Linked DNA regions of Oreochromis niloticus. The protein of the gene in region 1 purifies or fractionates together with the protein of each later gene. This does not show direct contact. Links are inferred from orthologs where the notes say so. Each region holds a gene or a part of one and is shown on either strand. Other genes may lie near its edges. The genes, in order: obsl1a and camkk2.

Region 1 (7,093 bases):
TGTATTCGTTTTGTCTGAAATTGTATTTTTCTCACAATATTGTCCACAACAACAAATGATCAGGGACAATACAGGCAGGAAAAAAACACACAAAAGATCTAGATCCAAACATTTGCCTGCACCCCTTTTATTTACTAGCCAACATAATATTATGCTAGATTGATGTCTTTTTTATATATATTTTTTGTAAAAAAAAAAAAAACTTCTTTACCAAAAGACTTTAGGAACCAGAGAGGTCTTATTTGATCTGAAGTCAGGGTATATTCACTGCTGATGTCGATGTTATGCTTACAGAACAATTCGAAAACTGCCACTAAAAATACTCCAAACTTAAAAATATAAACACATTGTGTTTATATTTTTAATTCTAAATGTCATGTGACTTTTCCAGATTTTTTTTTAAAGAAATTTTTCAAATACAAATGTTTTTGCTGCATCACATTATGATGAATCTGGGTTTTCAAGGGTTTGTCTTCCATATTTATTCCTGTGCTTATGGACAGGTTTAGGTGCTGGCTGTTTTTAGTTTTCACTCAAGACTACCTGGGTCTTGCAAAGCTACAAATATGATTTGCCCCAAAATCAAATTGATGTATTTTCTGGCTTGTGGGGCTTAGATTATATAGGGCTGTGCAAAAGTCATGAACCATGCTTCACTTCTTTATGTTTTGCTAAAAACAAAATGGGAACTAGGTGCAATAATTTTGTGAAATGTGTGCAAACTTTAAGTGTATAGCAGTAAATAAGGCAATTCACAACTATAACAAGCTTGAAAGTCAATATTTGGTATGACCCCCTTTATTCTTCAACACAGCCTGATCTCTTGTCGGCAGCTTTTCTGTAATTTCTTTTTAAGTATTCTTTAGAAATAGTTCTCCAGGCTTCTTGAAGGACATCCAAAGCTCATTTTGTTCTGTTCTCTTTCGAGATGATCCCACACTGCGTCAATAGTATTGGGTACGGGCTCCAGGGAGGCCAATCCATGACTAAGCTGTTATGACACAACACCAGTTCATCATTTGAGTGAGGTGCCTTTGCATGCTTGAATGATGAATGATTTGTCTTAACAAACAAAAACATTTATCTGAAAATAGGTATGAGTACTGGACTGAAAACAGGTTAAAAAATTTTAAAAAGCAGACAATGTGCATAGAAGAACGTTGAAATACCTTCAAAAACCTGGAGAACTATTGCTCAAGACCCCCACTATAAAATTAAGAGGGTCACTGGAAGCAAAGACTTGCAAATTAGGAATGAGTCAGCCCTGTCACGCGGTGTTCAGGTCACTTGAATCGGGACTTTGGGACAGTGTGGCAGTGTTTGTTGAGAAAGCTTTTCCTAAAAAGGAAATGTTACTCGCATTCAGACTAAAGCTGCCTGAATTTCCCCGAAAGAGAGTGGAAGAATGACCTCCAAGGTCACAGTTAAATGGTAAATGGACTAATTCTTAAATAGTGCTTTTCTACTCTTCTGGAGCACTCAAAGCGATTTATACAACATGTCTCATTCACCCATTCGCACCCATTCATACAAGCACTTTTCTCTATTGTGATAATGGTGATGATATGAACTGAAATTTTGGTACAGATGGTACAGCAAACTGTGCTCACAGACAGATTTCTACAAGTACGCACAGAGATTTCTCCAGATTCTCTGAATCTTTTGATAATATTATGTACTGTAGTCAATTTTATAGACACTGTTTTTTACAGAAAGGCAAACCTCTGCTCACCTTTACTTCTGAGAAACTCTGCCTCTCTAAGACGCTCTTTTCCTAGTCAGTCATGTTACTGACCTGATCCCAAGCAATGTAATACGTTTCTCCAGCTGTTTCTTTCCTGTCCTACTTGCTTTTCTAGCCTTTTGCTGCCCAACTTTTTGAGACATATTACTGCCATCAAAGTCAAAATGAGTCAGTAGTTTTTATGACATTATAAAGGCAATAAAATATGGATTTCTTTGGAACTTTTTTGGAGTTGTCTCACACATATAAACAGAAGTTTTTTTTTCCCCAGCAGGCTTGTTGGTTGCATGGAAAAGGCGGAAGAGCTTAAATGTGGGTGATCACTTGACTCTGTTGTTGTTGATGTCTGTGTCTATATCATCTGCCAGTTCAGTACCCCTTTCATTTTCCGTACACCTTCACTCTTGTCTTTTACAGCAGTGATGAAGTTCGAGAAGGATGAGGTCCGGTCTGTCTACATGTGCGTGCCTCCTCTAGTCTCTGGGGACATAAGTACTTCATCCTGGGACCATAATGTTTCTGTAGATTCCCAGTAAAATCAACCATCTTAATAAGACTGCAATGACAAACAGTTTAGCAGTGATCAGAACTGAACTCTCTTTTGTCCAGAGAAGGCCACACTTTTCCAGAATGATTATTCTATTTTGATTTCATGCTCTACAAATAAGAACTTAACACATCTAATGGACAGTACTGAAAAACAGTCCAGTATTTCTGTGTATGGCTTTTAACTTAGTGTTGCACAAAAGGCTTTTAACCTTCTGAAATCTAAGCATTCTCTCTATATGAATATTTTTATAACTTTAACACAGCACAGAAAAATAGTTTCCTTGGTTTGAAACGAGGATGATTGACATATTGTTAAAGACCCCAAGGTCTCAGTCAATCCTCTTCAGCTTTTGATATTGAAACCCAATCTCAGGACAAAGAGCAGAACTGTGCTTTTAATTCCTGGTACACCTAACAGCTGTGGGGATGACCGCATGGATTGTAATGTCAGAGGTATAAGTAGCCTTAAATGGGGCGAGCAGTGTGGTGTGACTCCTCCAAATGACTGTGGTATTAATTCATCTGTTCAGTGATACATGCTTGATAGATCACATCGCGTATTTCATTTAAAACCCTATAAATATGAATTTCTCATCATTATACTCGCACTTTAGGAAAGTTTAGTCTGTGCTTGACATGGCATTGTGTGTTAATTCAGCGCCGTCACAAAGGGGTCGAAGTTATGTGACCTGTATTCAAGGTCAAATATCCGTGACGACAGGTTGCATGCAGTGTGTATCTGTGGCTTCGGCTGTCCGAAACGCTCCACTTGAAGAGATAGGGCAGAGAGCTGTTGTCTGAGAATGCAGGCAATATGTGTCAACACCAAATTCAAATCTGCCACGGAAGGAGACAATTGATAAGTGAACAAGCACCCGTGCTCGCAGGGGGAAATAAAAATACTAAGATGATGACATGGATTTAGTGTTCATGTACTGCTCACCTATACTGTGTATCTTTTAGACACAACTGGAGAGCTGATTAGTTTTTGATCACGTAGTTTGAAATCTGACTCCAGTTGTATGTTACGCATCTTGTTTCATGTTTTAAGTTTTTCCAACAATTTATAGTCTTCTGAATGACTTACCTGTCCAGACTTGTACCATAAAGGGGCCTGAATTAAAATAAGTGTTATCACCTTATGAAATTTTTCGTATTATTTCTCTTCAAATCACAGTGTTATATAACTCATTTATCACTGAGATGAGCTGAAATACAAAACATACAAACACTTTTCACACACAAAAACAGAGATGAAGCGCAGGGCGTGGAGCGTATTAATATGAGTTGTTAACACTGCTTGGTTACAAAAAATTATGGTAGTTACTATGTTACAATTGTGTAACATTAACTGATGATGCAGTAAAAAGGTAATAATATGGCCATGTATCCAAATGCCTAACCCACCATAACATAGTCTTTTATCTGTTTAGCGTGAATTGCATTATCATGACACCAAACTCTTTGTTTCGCTTCCATCTGTTGATCATCCCTCAGTATAAACCATTTTCTAATGTGTGACACTAATTTGACCCTATTTATGGGTCAGCGTGACTCATGAGGCAAGGAGCTCCAGCAGGCAGGGCGTCCTTTCTCTTCTAAAGGTTTAACTCAGGATATCTTTTAAGCTGAGTGATCCATCGCAGAGCTCGGCCCCCTTCTATCTTTAGTGAACCATAGCCTGTCAATGGAGAGCCTAACTTTATCTGGCTCACTGTCATCGAAGCTGCTGGTATTTTTAGGGGGTGGCTTGCAGTGGCAGCAGCTGCAAAAGCATTTACTGCCCCCCACCACCAATTCCAGCTAGCTCTCTCTCACACCACACTCTTTAGCTATTGGACAATGACAGTATCAGAGCTGACGCATAAACCAGGCACTCAGCTGAAAGGCTGTGGTCATTTTACTCCTTGCCACCTGCAACCCAACACCAGACTGAGGGGACACAACTAAGATATTACTATGACTCTGGACCACCAAATGTGAATGGAAGATACCATTTTTCTCAGCTGCTTTGGTGTTCAGTGACCAGCAGGCGCTCCAAACAAGACAAACCAGGAAAACAAGGAACATGAGCTGAAGACTCTAAACGTGCTTCTTGAATGCTCACAGAATAAAGAAAGCACCAAAGATCATCCAAGTGAACTGATGCCAGCTTGTATTTTTAAGAATAACATTTTAAGGCATCACAAGAGAGACAAATGCTTTAAAGACAGCATCTCTTAAAGCGGTAAGTCTGAACTTTAACGACACAATTAGAAACTGTTGAGCTCTTTTTTGTGTCACTGTGTAATTCTCTCCTGAAAATGCCGGAGGAGGATCTTTTCTTTACATGTGCCAACAAAACATTCGAAGACTGACTAAGCTTGGGATGTGCCTCTACCTGTCATAAAGTTGTATGACTTTATGCTCTTTAGATGATTTCTAAGCGTGATGTGTCACAGAGAACAAATGGCTGCCGTTCTTGATGCAAAAAGAAAGGTGGTGACAACACAGAGGAAACAAATGAGCCATGAAAAGAGACAAGTGGCAGCTGCATTACAAATGGAGGCTAAAGCTTTAGATCTGGGATGTCAAACTCATTTGACATTGTGTTTATCTATAACTAAATAACTTTGGCTTAGCGTGAATGGTAATGGGGCAGGTTTTTATCAGTCATAAAGGCTGTAAAACCTTTGAAAATACAGTTATAAGCCAAAATCTATTACCTCCTTCACATTTTCAAAAGCCGTCAAGTGGGCTCGATTGGAGTCCTTGCCGGGCCAATTCTGGCCCCCAGACTTTATGTTTGACACCCTTGCTTTAGATACTGAATTGCTTAAGTTGTTGCTAGAATGTTACAATGAGCTGACAAAGAGAAGCCAACAGTAAGAGTGCAAACAACATTCTGTACACATGAATGTATATAAGGGATTAGTTGGTCCTAGTTAGTGACTGCAGGTGTGTTTGTGTGCTATGTGACACAGAGGCTCCAGCATCTTTTTTTGGACAGACTGCTTTATAAATACACTCTTCACTGAGCTACAGCACCAGCTGTGAGACAACCAAGAGTGTTTGCTCAATATCCACCTCGTAAAACTACTAAACTTCTTTACTTCAGCTTTGGGAACTATACTGAGTATTCTGAAAATTTTTAAAATTTGATTTAATTCAGTTTTATTTAAATAGTGCCAAATACCAACAACAGTCACTTCAAGGTACTTTATATTGTAAGGTAAAGACCCTACAATAATAGAGAGAAACCCCAACAATAAGAAGACCCCCCCCCCCCCCCCCCCACCCCCCTTGAAACAAGCACTTGGCGAGAGTGGAAAGGAAAAACTCCCTTTTAACAGGAAGGAACCTCCAGCAGAACCAGACTCAGGGAGGGGCAGCCATCTGCTGCAAAAGGTTGGTGATGAGAGGAGGAAGGCAGGACAAAGATACACCATGGAATAAATAGATATTAATAATATTATTGTATTTTATAAAACTGTTCACTCTTCATTCTGCTTTCAGTTTGAGTCAGATTACTGATGAACCCATCTGGGACACAATGAACACACAGTTACTGTTTAGATGGTGGTTTGGGGTTTGAACTCAAAAGCTGCACTCATGGCAGATTTTAATCAGTCTACTAAACTAATAATCTTCTTTCTCTTTCAGCTCTTCACAAAACATAAGAAGATCATTTTGAAAAGAAACTTCTTCATTCGACCCAAATAAAAGGTGACATCACCATGGATATTTTTGGTGGCGCACCTCGTGTTTTAGGCTATCCACGTCCTGTAGTGGCCCAGTGTGGAACAGATGCAACACTGAAGTGCCAAGTCGGTGGAGACCCACGCCCAGATGTGATCTGGGAACGCAAAAATGTCCAGATCCTGTCTGAAGGACGCTACAAGATCTCAGAGGAGGGAAAGGTTTACTTGCTGACCATTACCAGAGTGACCCAGCAGGATGCTGGCCAGTACATCTGCAAGGCTAGAAATAGCATAGGAGAAACCTATGCAGCAGCGTCCCTTAAAGTTGAAGGAGAGGCCCAGCAACAAGATGAGGACGCAAGACAGTTAGTGGTCAATGGTGGGACGCAACCTATGCAAGAAAACGGAGAATTTGTGGGACACCTAAATGGCTACAATGCAGTGCAAAATGGTGAACACTGCAAGGCAAATGGAGGGGAACTGAATGGAGGATGGAACAGCGGGCTAAGCGAAAAACAAGCAGAGGTTGATCTAACATCTGATGACAGACCGCGATTCCTCATCAAGCCCCTGTCTCTGCGTGTGGATCGGGGCGAAGACGCAGCCTTCTCCTGTAAAATCTGGGGGACCCCTCTGCCAGAGGTGATTTGGGAAAAGGATGGGAAGAAACTCAATGACATCTTTGAGAGTTCTCACTTCAGCATGAGGAATGAAGATGGTGGCTGGTTCCAACTCAAGATATATCGGACGCGTATGCCCGACAAAGGCGTCTACACCTGCAAGGCCGTCAACTGCCATGGTGAGGCCCTGGCTGGGGCCGTCCTTCTTGTCGAACCTGTACCAGAGCGAGGGGACAGCAAAACATCCTCGACCGGTCACACTAACAGCCAGTGGTCACCAAAGCACAGGGGTGGGAGGCCCGGTTTGTCAAGGATCACAGCAGAGCCACCTGTCGATGGGTCAAAAGTAAAGAAATTTGCAGTAGCGGAGGGGAAACACGCCAAGTTTCGCTGCTTTGTAACAGGGAAGCCAAAACCTGAGATCATCTGGAAGAAAGACGGAGTTCCCCTAGAGCCCGACAGACGTCATCTGATATTTGAGGACAGAGAGGGCTACTACA
Region 2 (7,161 bases), on another chromosome or scaffold:
ACAAACAATGACATATTATGAAATAATAAAAAAATACAATAAATGGCATCTATCAAAGATCTACTGATGATCACTTGATGTATCATTTTTTTTCGCCAATCGGTGTATCCAAATTCCTTGTGAACCCGTAAAGCCATAAAAATACAGATCCCACAATGCACTGCAGAGCATCACAGGAAGCATTCGATTGAACCGCCGGTGCATTGTGGGAAGGCGGAAAAAGGGCTCAAAAGGTAGGGAACCGCGTCTGGCGCACGTTGCAACGTCAAAAGAAGAAGCAATAACAAAGAAACTAGCTTTTACGATAGACTCCAGGTAAGAAACAAAAATACTCGTAATTCAACTGAGACTGTAAATTTTTTCCATGCTCATTAGCAGCGTTGTTTGTTTCTTGTGCGTGTGAATCAAGCGCGTTCGTTCAGGAGCCAATATGGCTCCGTCTATTTGCCGAACTAATAACTTATTACTGCAATAAAGAGGCAAGTGTTAATGTTGAAATCGTATTTGTGTCATTTTAAGTTTAATTTGTTACACATGGCATTAATTGGGTTACATTATTGTATGCAACCAGGATATATTATTGTCCATTAGCCTAGCTCGCTAATGAAGGCTAATTCCTCTCGCAGCTTCGATATTCAATGATTTGACTGAGAGATTCGCTTTATTGATCAGAAGTTAACTGTAGCTTGCTCATCCCATCTTAACGAGGGTCACTGATTGTTATATATTAACTCCCAGCAACTCTTTAAACAGTATAAGAGAGCTGATTATCGTTACACAGGCAGTACTCGAGTGAAAAATAAATTGGCGAGGATAATGATGTGTGGACAAGTGAAATGGTTCCTGATTGCCTCTCTGGTGTTTCTGTAACTAAACGCATCGCAAAATTAACAAGCCAGTTAGCCATACAGTTTGGTTACAGTTAAGTGTGATGTTTGATGAAAAAAAAAAAAAAAAATGCGTTTCCAGGAGCTTACAGCCTGTGAATGTGCACAGTGTAACATTTCTTCTGCTAAATTTTGTTTTCCAGAAACATTCTTGAAAAATGTCCATCGGCGTTCCAATCAAGGTCCTGCATGAGGCAGAAGGCCACATTGTGACCTGTGAGACCAACACTGGAGAGGTTTACAGAGGCAAGCTGATCGAAGCAGAGGACAACATGAACTGCCAGGTCAGTACATGATAAAGAGTGGAAAGTGAATGTGGATGGTGCTCCTCCTTACGGGGGTCCCATCAACCAAACTGTTGGTACTGTATTGTTTTTATGATATTTTTTTTTTTTTTTTTTTCCTCCCTTAATTAGAGTAATCAACAGTTTAGTCTTTAATAGGCTGCTTGATCATTTGAACAAGTTTTGTTTACTTTATTTTCAGGTAAATGCCCCTAAATGGCTTAAGGTCTTGTAAGGCAACACCGATAGAAAAGCTTAATGAGGCTAAAAGGAATTGCATTACAAATAATAGTGTCTTTGTTCTCTGCGTCTCTCTGTTTTCCCTTTAGGTAAATGTAAAAGGACATCTGAATGTTCAGGTTCAATTTGTGGTGTTTTTATTTTAATTATAACATTTATTTCTAGTTTTTTGTTTATATTTATTTTTTTCCCCCGTAGTTGTTTAAAGGTTTCCAAGCTTTCCACCTGATGGTGTCAAAATAAGAGTGAATTGTGCTAATCAAGTACTGGAGACCTAGATCTGGTAGCTGCATTAGTAAGAGCCAGTTAATTAAAAATTGGTCCCAGATCAGATGGTAAAAATCTGTTCCTTTTATGGCTTTGTAAAGTTTAGATAACTACTGTTGACTTGAATAAAACACTAAAGAGCAGTTTGATTACATTTGTTGAAAGAATGATCTTTCTGTTTCTTACAGATGTCTAATATCACGGTGACTTATCGGGATGGCCGCGTGGCACAGCTGGAGCAAGTTTACATCCGTGGCAGCAAAATCCGCTTTCTGATTTTACCCGATATGTTAAAAAATGCTCCTATGCTGAAGAGTATGAAGAACAAGAACCAGGGATCTGGTGCAGGAAGGGGCAAGGCAGCTATTCTTAAAGCACAAGGTGGGTGAAAATTCGCAGTGGATTGATACACCTGTCAGTATGTTCAGTAGTGGGAGCAACTGATGGTGATTTAAACTCACTGCATGCATTGATTGCCTTTTTGTGTTTGTGCAGCATAACTAAATCCTACCATGAGAAAAGTGCTTTCTGTCAGTGTTGCTCTGTTCCTTGTGTAATAAGTACAGTCTTGTCATAGGTGCAGGGGATCTGTCAAAAACACTGACTTAAATGTTTCATTGTTGTTCAATTTGTCTTCACATCCCCTTTAAGATAGAGCTGATATTTTGCCAAGCGGGTGTTAAGGATACAAAATTAGACTTCACTGTACTTCTCAAAGTACTGAATGTATTATTAAGGTTACTGAACAGTTTTTCTGGTTCAGTGAGGTACTCTACATTAAAAACTGATAGTATGCCATCTTTGTTTTTTGTGCTCTCCAGTGGCTGCAAGAGGACGAGGGCGTGGTGGAATGGGAAGGGGAAACATCTTCCAGAAGAGGCGATAATTGCTCCAGCTATATTAACATTTTTGCATTGTATAGTTTTTGTTTCCCCCTTGAATTTGATATGTTGGATATCATTTGAAATCTTGTACTTTGCAGTCAGTTGCTTTAATTTCTTTTTTTTTATTAAAATAAAAGTTTTTCAATTTGATGTGTCCTGATGTTTTTGTTTTGTTTTTCTTCTCCCACTTACAAGAGATTCACTTGTGCCAACAGTCTTATTTCAAAACATCCAATATTTAATAAGGAATGTACTAGGAATGCGGTGTTTAGCTTTATCCAAGTAATTTCAGTGTTAAACCCTGGGTTTTCTGTACTATAAAAGGTTACCTGAGTATATTGCCATGTTGCCTTCTGCTGTGGACCAGATAAAATCGGGCCTAAAATCACCACATACTAACCAATCAATTCTTTGGAAATTAATTTTACTATTCCAGAGGAGTCCTTGGCCCTGTGCAGATGGCAGCATTTAAAGGATTTCAGCACCATCCAGTCTTTTTTCCGTAATGGGCATCAGTAGTAAGTACTGCATTGATTCTTAAATGCTACCTCTCTTGTGTTGGCTGCAGACCTTGTATAAAATGTGCATGTAGCCTAAGCCTACATATGAATGTTGTTTTTATCTTTGTTTACGCTGACCTTTAAATTCATTGGAATTCAAAGGTAGCTAAAAAGGACAAAAACCAAAAACACTTTTAAACATTAATGAAATGCTCAATTATAATCCATGAGATTCTTCCCCTGTTTTAATACTAGAAATGTGATATTGGAAAGTCTGTTAACTCGCATATCATTTTCAAGTGTTGTTGACCAAAACACTCAAAGTGCTCACACATTCATGCAGAGCCTTTAATACTTAACTACTGTATAGCACTTCTTGTTTCAGAAACTGACTTCTGATTTCAGTCTGCATTCTGTGTTTAATATGTTACTTTTTAAAAAATATTTTTATTGTAGGTTTATCTTCCTTCATCTCTTTCATGTGAATGGTCAGGCAAGACCCTGGGTTACTTGACACCAGATTTGTGTTAGAGGGATTGTGTATCTCACATTTTTTTGATGCATAAGTGTAGTCTTTAGAAAAACAAACAAACCCAAAATGTTTTGGTTTGTAAATTAACTAGTTAAATTGTGACCATGAATCATCTTTCAGGATTTCAAAGTCTGAAATTCGCAGCAAAATTTACCTTTTTTTTTTTACTAGTTTTCCTGAGTTGTTTTAAATGAATGCAAAAAAAACTTAGAGTACTTTTATACCAAATGCAGAGCAAGCAAGATCTTGAACTTGATAGTTAAAACAGTGGTTGCATCACTCTACTGTGGAGACAGTGCCGGAAGCTTAATGATTTAAAGATAATGGCTATCAGAAGCAACCACATAGACACAAAGGACGTGTAATGAGAGTGGCTTGGCTGTAGTGTCCTGGTAGCCATCACAGCCATCCTAAATATAACAGTCTTATTATATAAGACCTCTAAATAAAATCGGCCCATCATTAAAGAGCCAAAGCCAGTTTATTTTACTAGGTCCAACTCTCCAGTACACCACAAGATGGTGCTACTAGGTCATAAAGCATTTAAGGCAGAAACGACCAGGAACCGTCAATGTTATATTTAGAACTCGTGAAATAAAAGAAGGCAAAAGGGCAACGTAGCCCTCAGCGGAAGTAGCTTAGGTTGTTTGTTAGCACATAATAGCGTTACGTTAAATGCCTGCCGTTAACATTTCCTCCATGTGAAGCACGGGACCTGCGTGCTCAGCTGGATTGGTCCGTGAAAATATCGGTTATCAGTCTGTTACAGTCTCCGTTTCTCAAACAGCTAGCTAGCTCTTGCAGGGCAGAAGCTACTCACACAGCAGACGAGGAAGGAGAGGGAACCTTACATTTCTAAATTGTAGGCCTAAATAACACGCCAAGGTAAGGTTTTTGTTTGTTAAATCACACAGTATATATACAGTTTTCTTTCTTTCTTTTTTCTTTAAAAAAAAAAAAAAAAAAAGATTGCTTCCTGCATCTTTGCCAGCGGCTGTAGCATGAACGTTACTGGGACGTACTAGCATCACTGACTCCTTCATCCACAACATCTGTATCTTGCCAGATGAGGCAGCTGCTAACGTTAGCTGAGCTGGTTGGCTTAGAAGCTCAGAGCTAAGTTAGCTTAGACTTGAGACGGCGGTGACTTTGTGAACGCCTAAACAACACCGGAGCAGCTTAACCGCTTTGACATTTACAGTCGATGTAGCAGCTCCTATCTGTGGGTGTAAGTAACACGAAACCCGGTGGTGCCAGTTGCATGTGCTATTCTTTATCGGTTATCTCAAAGATTGTTTGTGTGGTTGTGAAATTGCAGAGACAACGAGTCTCGGTTTAGTCTCAAATCTTCATGTTGGGCTCTGGTAACATCTAATGTTATCGCTTTTGGGAAGTTGCGCTGACATATTCTTGAGGAGAGAAAGCCTCTGATGGCACACAGAGTCCCCGATGTTATTTATTTTAGTTATCATTGTGTTATTTTTTGTTTACTTGTATACAAGTAATTTTAGTCTTTTGGAAAACAATTTAAAGTGTGTATATATATATGTATATATATATATATATATATATATATATATATATATATATATATATATATATATATATTATTTGACACATTTAACTCCTGGCATCACTCTACAGAATAAATTGAACTTTAACTTTGATATAGTAGGTTTAGTGGTTATTTTATAAGGTTAGCCTTAACCTTCCAGTAGATACAGAGTAGAAATGTGTAGAAACACATTTAATGTGTTGTACCTTCATTCTGGAAAATGCCCTTTAAATTTACTTGTATCATATTTTTTTAATGATTATGATTATGATTATGATTATTATTATTATAATTATTGAAATTCTTTATTTTCATTCAGCAATTTATGTTTTGAAGGCTGGTGACAGAACTAGTAAAATATGTTTACAGATTATTTTAAGTCTGTCCAATAGAGAGGTAAAGAGAGATAAGGTGCACACTTTAAATAATACATAAATAAATAAGTTAGAGTAAAAAAAAAAACAATAAGAAAATTAAAATCCAGTTTAATAGGTTTAACATATTTCACCCATTAATTAATCCCATTAACCTTTTACTCCCAGTTTCCTTAATCCTTTCCATGGTATAAATATCACTTACTATCTCTGTCCCCTCTGTGGCGGGGGCTCTTGTGTCATATCATTAAAACCGTTTAACAGGAAATGGCTGATATTTGATTTGTGCCATTGTAACGTAGGGCATGACTGATACATATTTTCACAGAGTCTTTGTGGAGTTTGCATTGCTGCCCCTCCGTGAATCCACTGGAGGGCTGTTAAAAGGGAGATCTTTTGCTCCACCATTGTCAAGTGCTTTCGTATCAAGGAGGCTCAGATTGGCGGGCTTCTCTCTGTCTTTATCTTGCAATACAAAGCAGCTTGCTACATAAATAAAATTGAAATAAGTTCAATTTAATGTCTGGGTCACCAAATGAGTTTTTCAGATTCTCTCTAAATTGTGCTGTGATTATGTGGCAACACTGCAGCTAAGTTGATCAAGGACAATAATTCCTCCATTTACAGGAGCTTATCTCTTGCACGGTGCCGGACATCGCTGACAGTGTAACCCTGTTGATCTTTTAATGAAGCTGGGGATCCTCCTCTGCTCCAGATGGCCCTGTGTTGTACTGGTATTTCCATAACACAGTGCCTGTGTTGTTATTAATGCTCTACATGGCTTGGACCCCCTGCAAGTTGTGATAAGTCCTCTCTTCCCCTCCCATCCTCTCCTGGTCGGATAGTGACGGGCAGGTCACATGATTTTTGTTATGGTAAAAGGCACGGTATGGCATCTGGAGCTAGGCAGCATCTGTTGGTGTTTCTCGAGGCTCAAATCTGACTCCTTGTTCTTCGTCGTGCTGCTGTGATCCGCAGGGATCAGGGAAGTTTTGGGCTTTAGCCAGCAGTTCAGTCATTAATGATGCACAGTGTCTTTGTACAAAAATGAAATTGAAGTCTGTGCAGTTCTCTTGTATCACAGAAACTTGGTGACCTTTGAGGTAGCGTATTTATCTTTAGTGCGAGGGAATTGGGAGTTTGCAGTTTCAAAAATGACTTTAGCAAATAGTGGATGCGAAATATTGTATCAAACCAACTCATCATGATTTCAGAATCTGAATCAGAATACTTTATTGATCCCTAGGGGAAAGTATGTAAGCATGCAAGTACAACTCCTGCTGAAAACCCAGACTTTCTAGGTGGGAAACGAGATTTGCAGTAATATTGTCTTGTCTGACTAACAGTTATACTGTCAAGTTAGGAGTTTATGCCATCATCAGTTATGATAATGCATAAACACTTTTTTGTTTTCATGGAAACAGGCCTTGTTTTGTGTCATCTGTGTATCTGTGGGTCAAACTGGGTAAGTTATCACTCACTTCTACTCGGAATACTTTTTTTAATGAATTAAAACCAACCAAAAAGTGTCTGCTTTTAATAACATTTCAGACGTTTTCAGATGTTATTAAAGCCAGAGGTGTTAAATTGACCTAGAAAAAGAAGCAAATAAGCAACATTTATCCTCTACAGCAAAAC

Evidence for each region.
Region 2: the proteins of obsl1a (region 1) and camkk2 purify together in Homo sapiens (affinity purification with mass spectrometry; 4 studies listed by BioGRID and IntAct, with this or other methods). This does not show direct contact. The link is inferred for Oreochromis niloticus from reciprocal best matches to the Homo sapiens genes OBSL1 and CAMKK2.

What each region holds. Positions count from the first base shown.
Region 1 is NC_031986.2:17,450,312-17,457,404, forward strand, and holds the start of obsl1a (obscurin-like protein 1a), read left to right. Parts: upstream 1-4,085; 5' UTR 4,086-4,520; intron 4,521-5,935; 5' UTR 5,936-6,009; coding exon 6,010-7,093. UniProt on the Homo sapiens protein: Core component of the 3M complex, a complex required to regulate microtubule dynamics and genome integrity. It is unclear how the 3M complex regulates microtubules, it could act by controlling the level of a microtubule stabilizer.
Region 2 is NC_031972.2:24,902,711-24,909,871, forward strand, and holds the start of camkk2 (calcium/calmodulin-dependent protein kinase kinase 2), read left to right. Parts: upstream 1-4,150; 5' UTR 4,151-4,479; intron 4,480-4,642; exon of another isoform or gene 4,643-4,822; intron 4,823-7,161. Other genes in the region: snrpd3l (small nuclear ribonucleoprotein D3 polypeptide, like), read left to right, coding at 1,046-1,171, 1,867-2,059, 2,500-2,564. UniProt on the Homo sapiens protein: Calcium/calmodulin-dependent protein kinase belonging to a proposed calcium-triggered signaling cascade involved in a number of cellular processes. Isoform 1, isoform 2 and isoform 3 phosphorylate CAMK1 and CAMK4. Isoform 3 phosphorylates CAMK1D.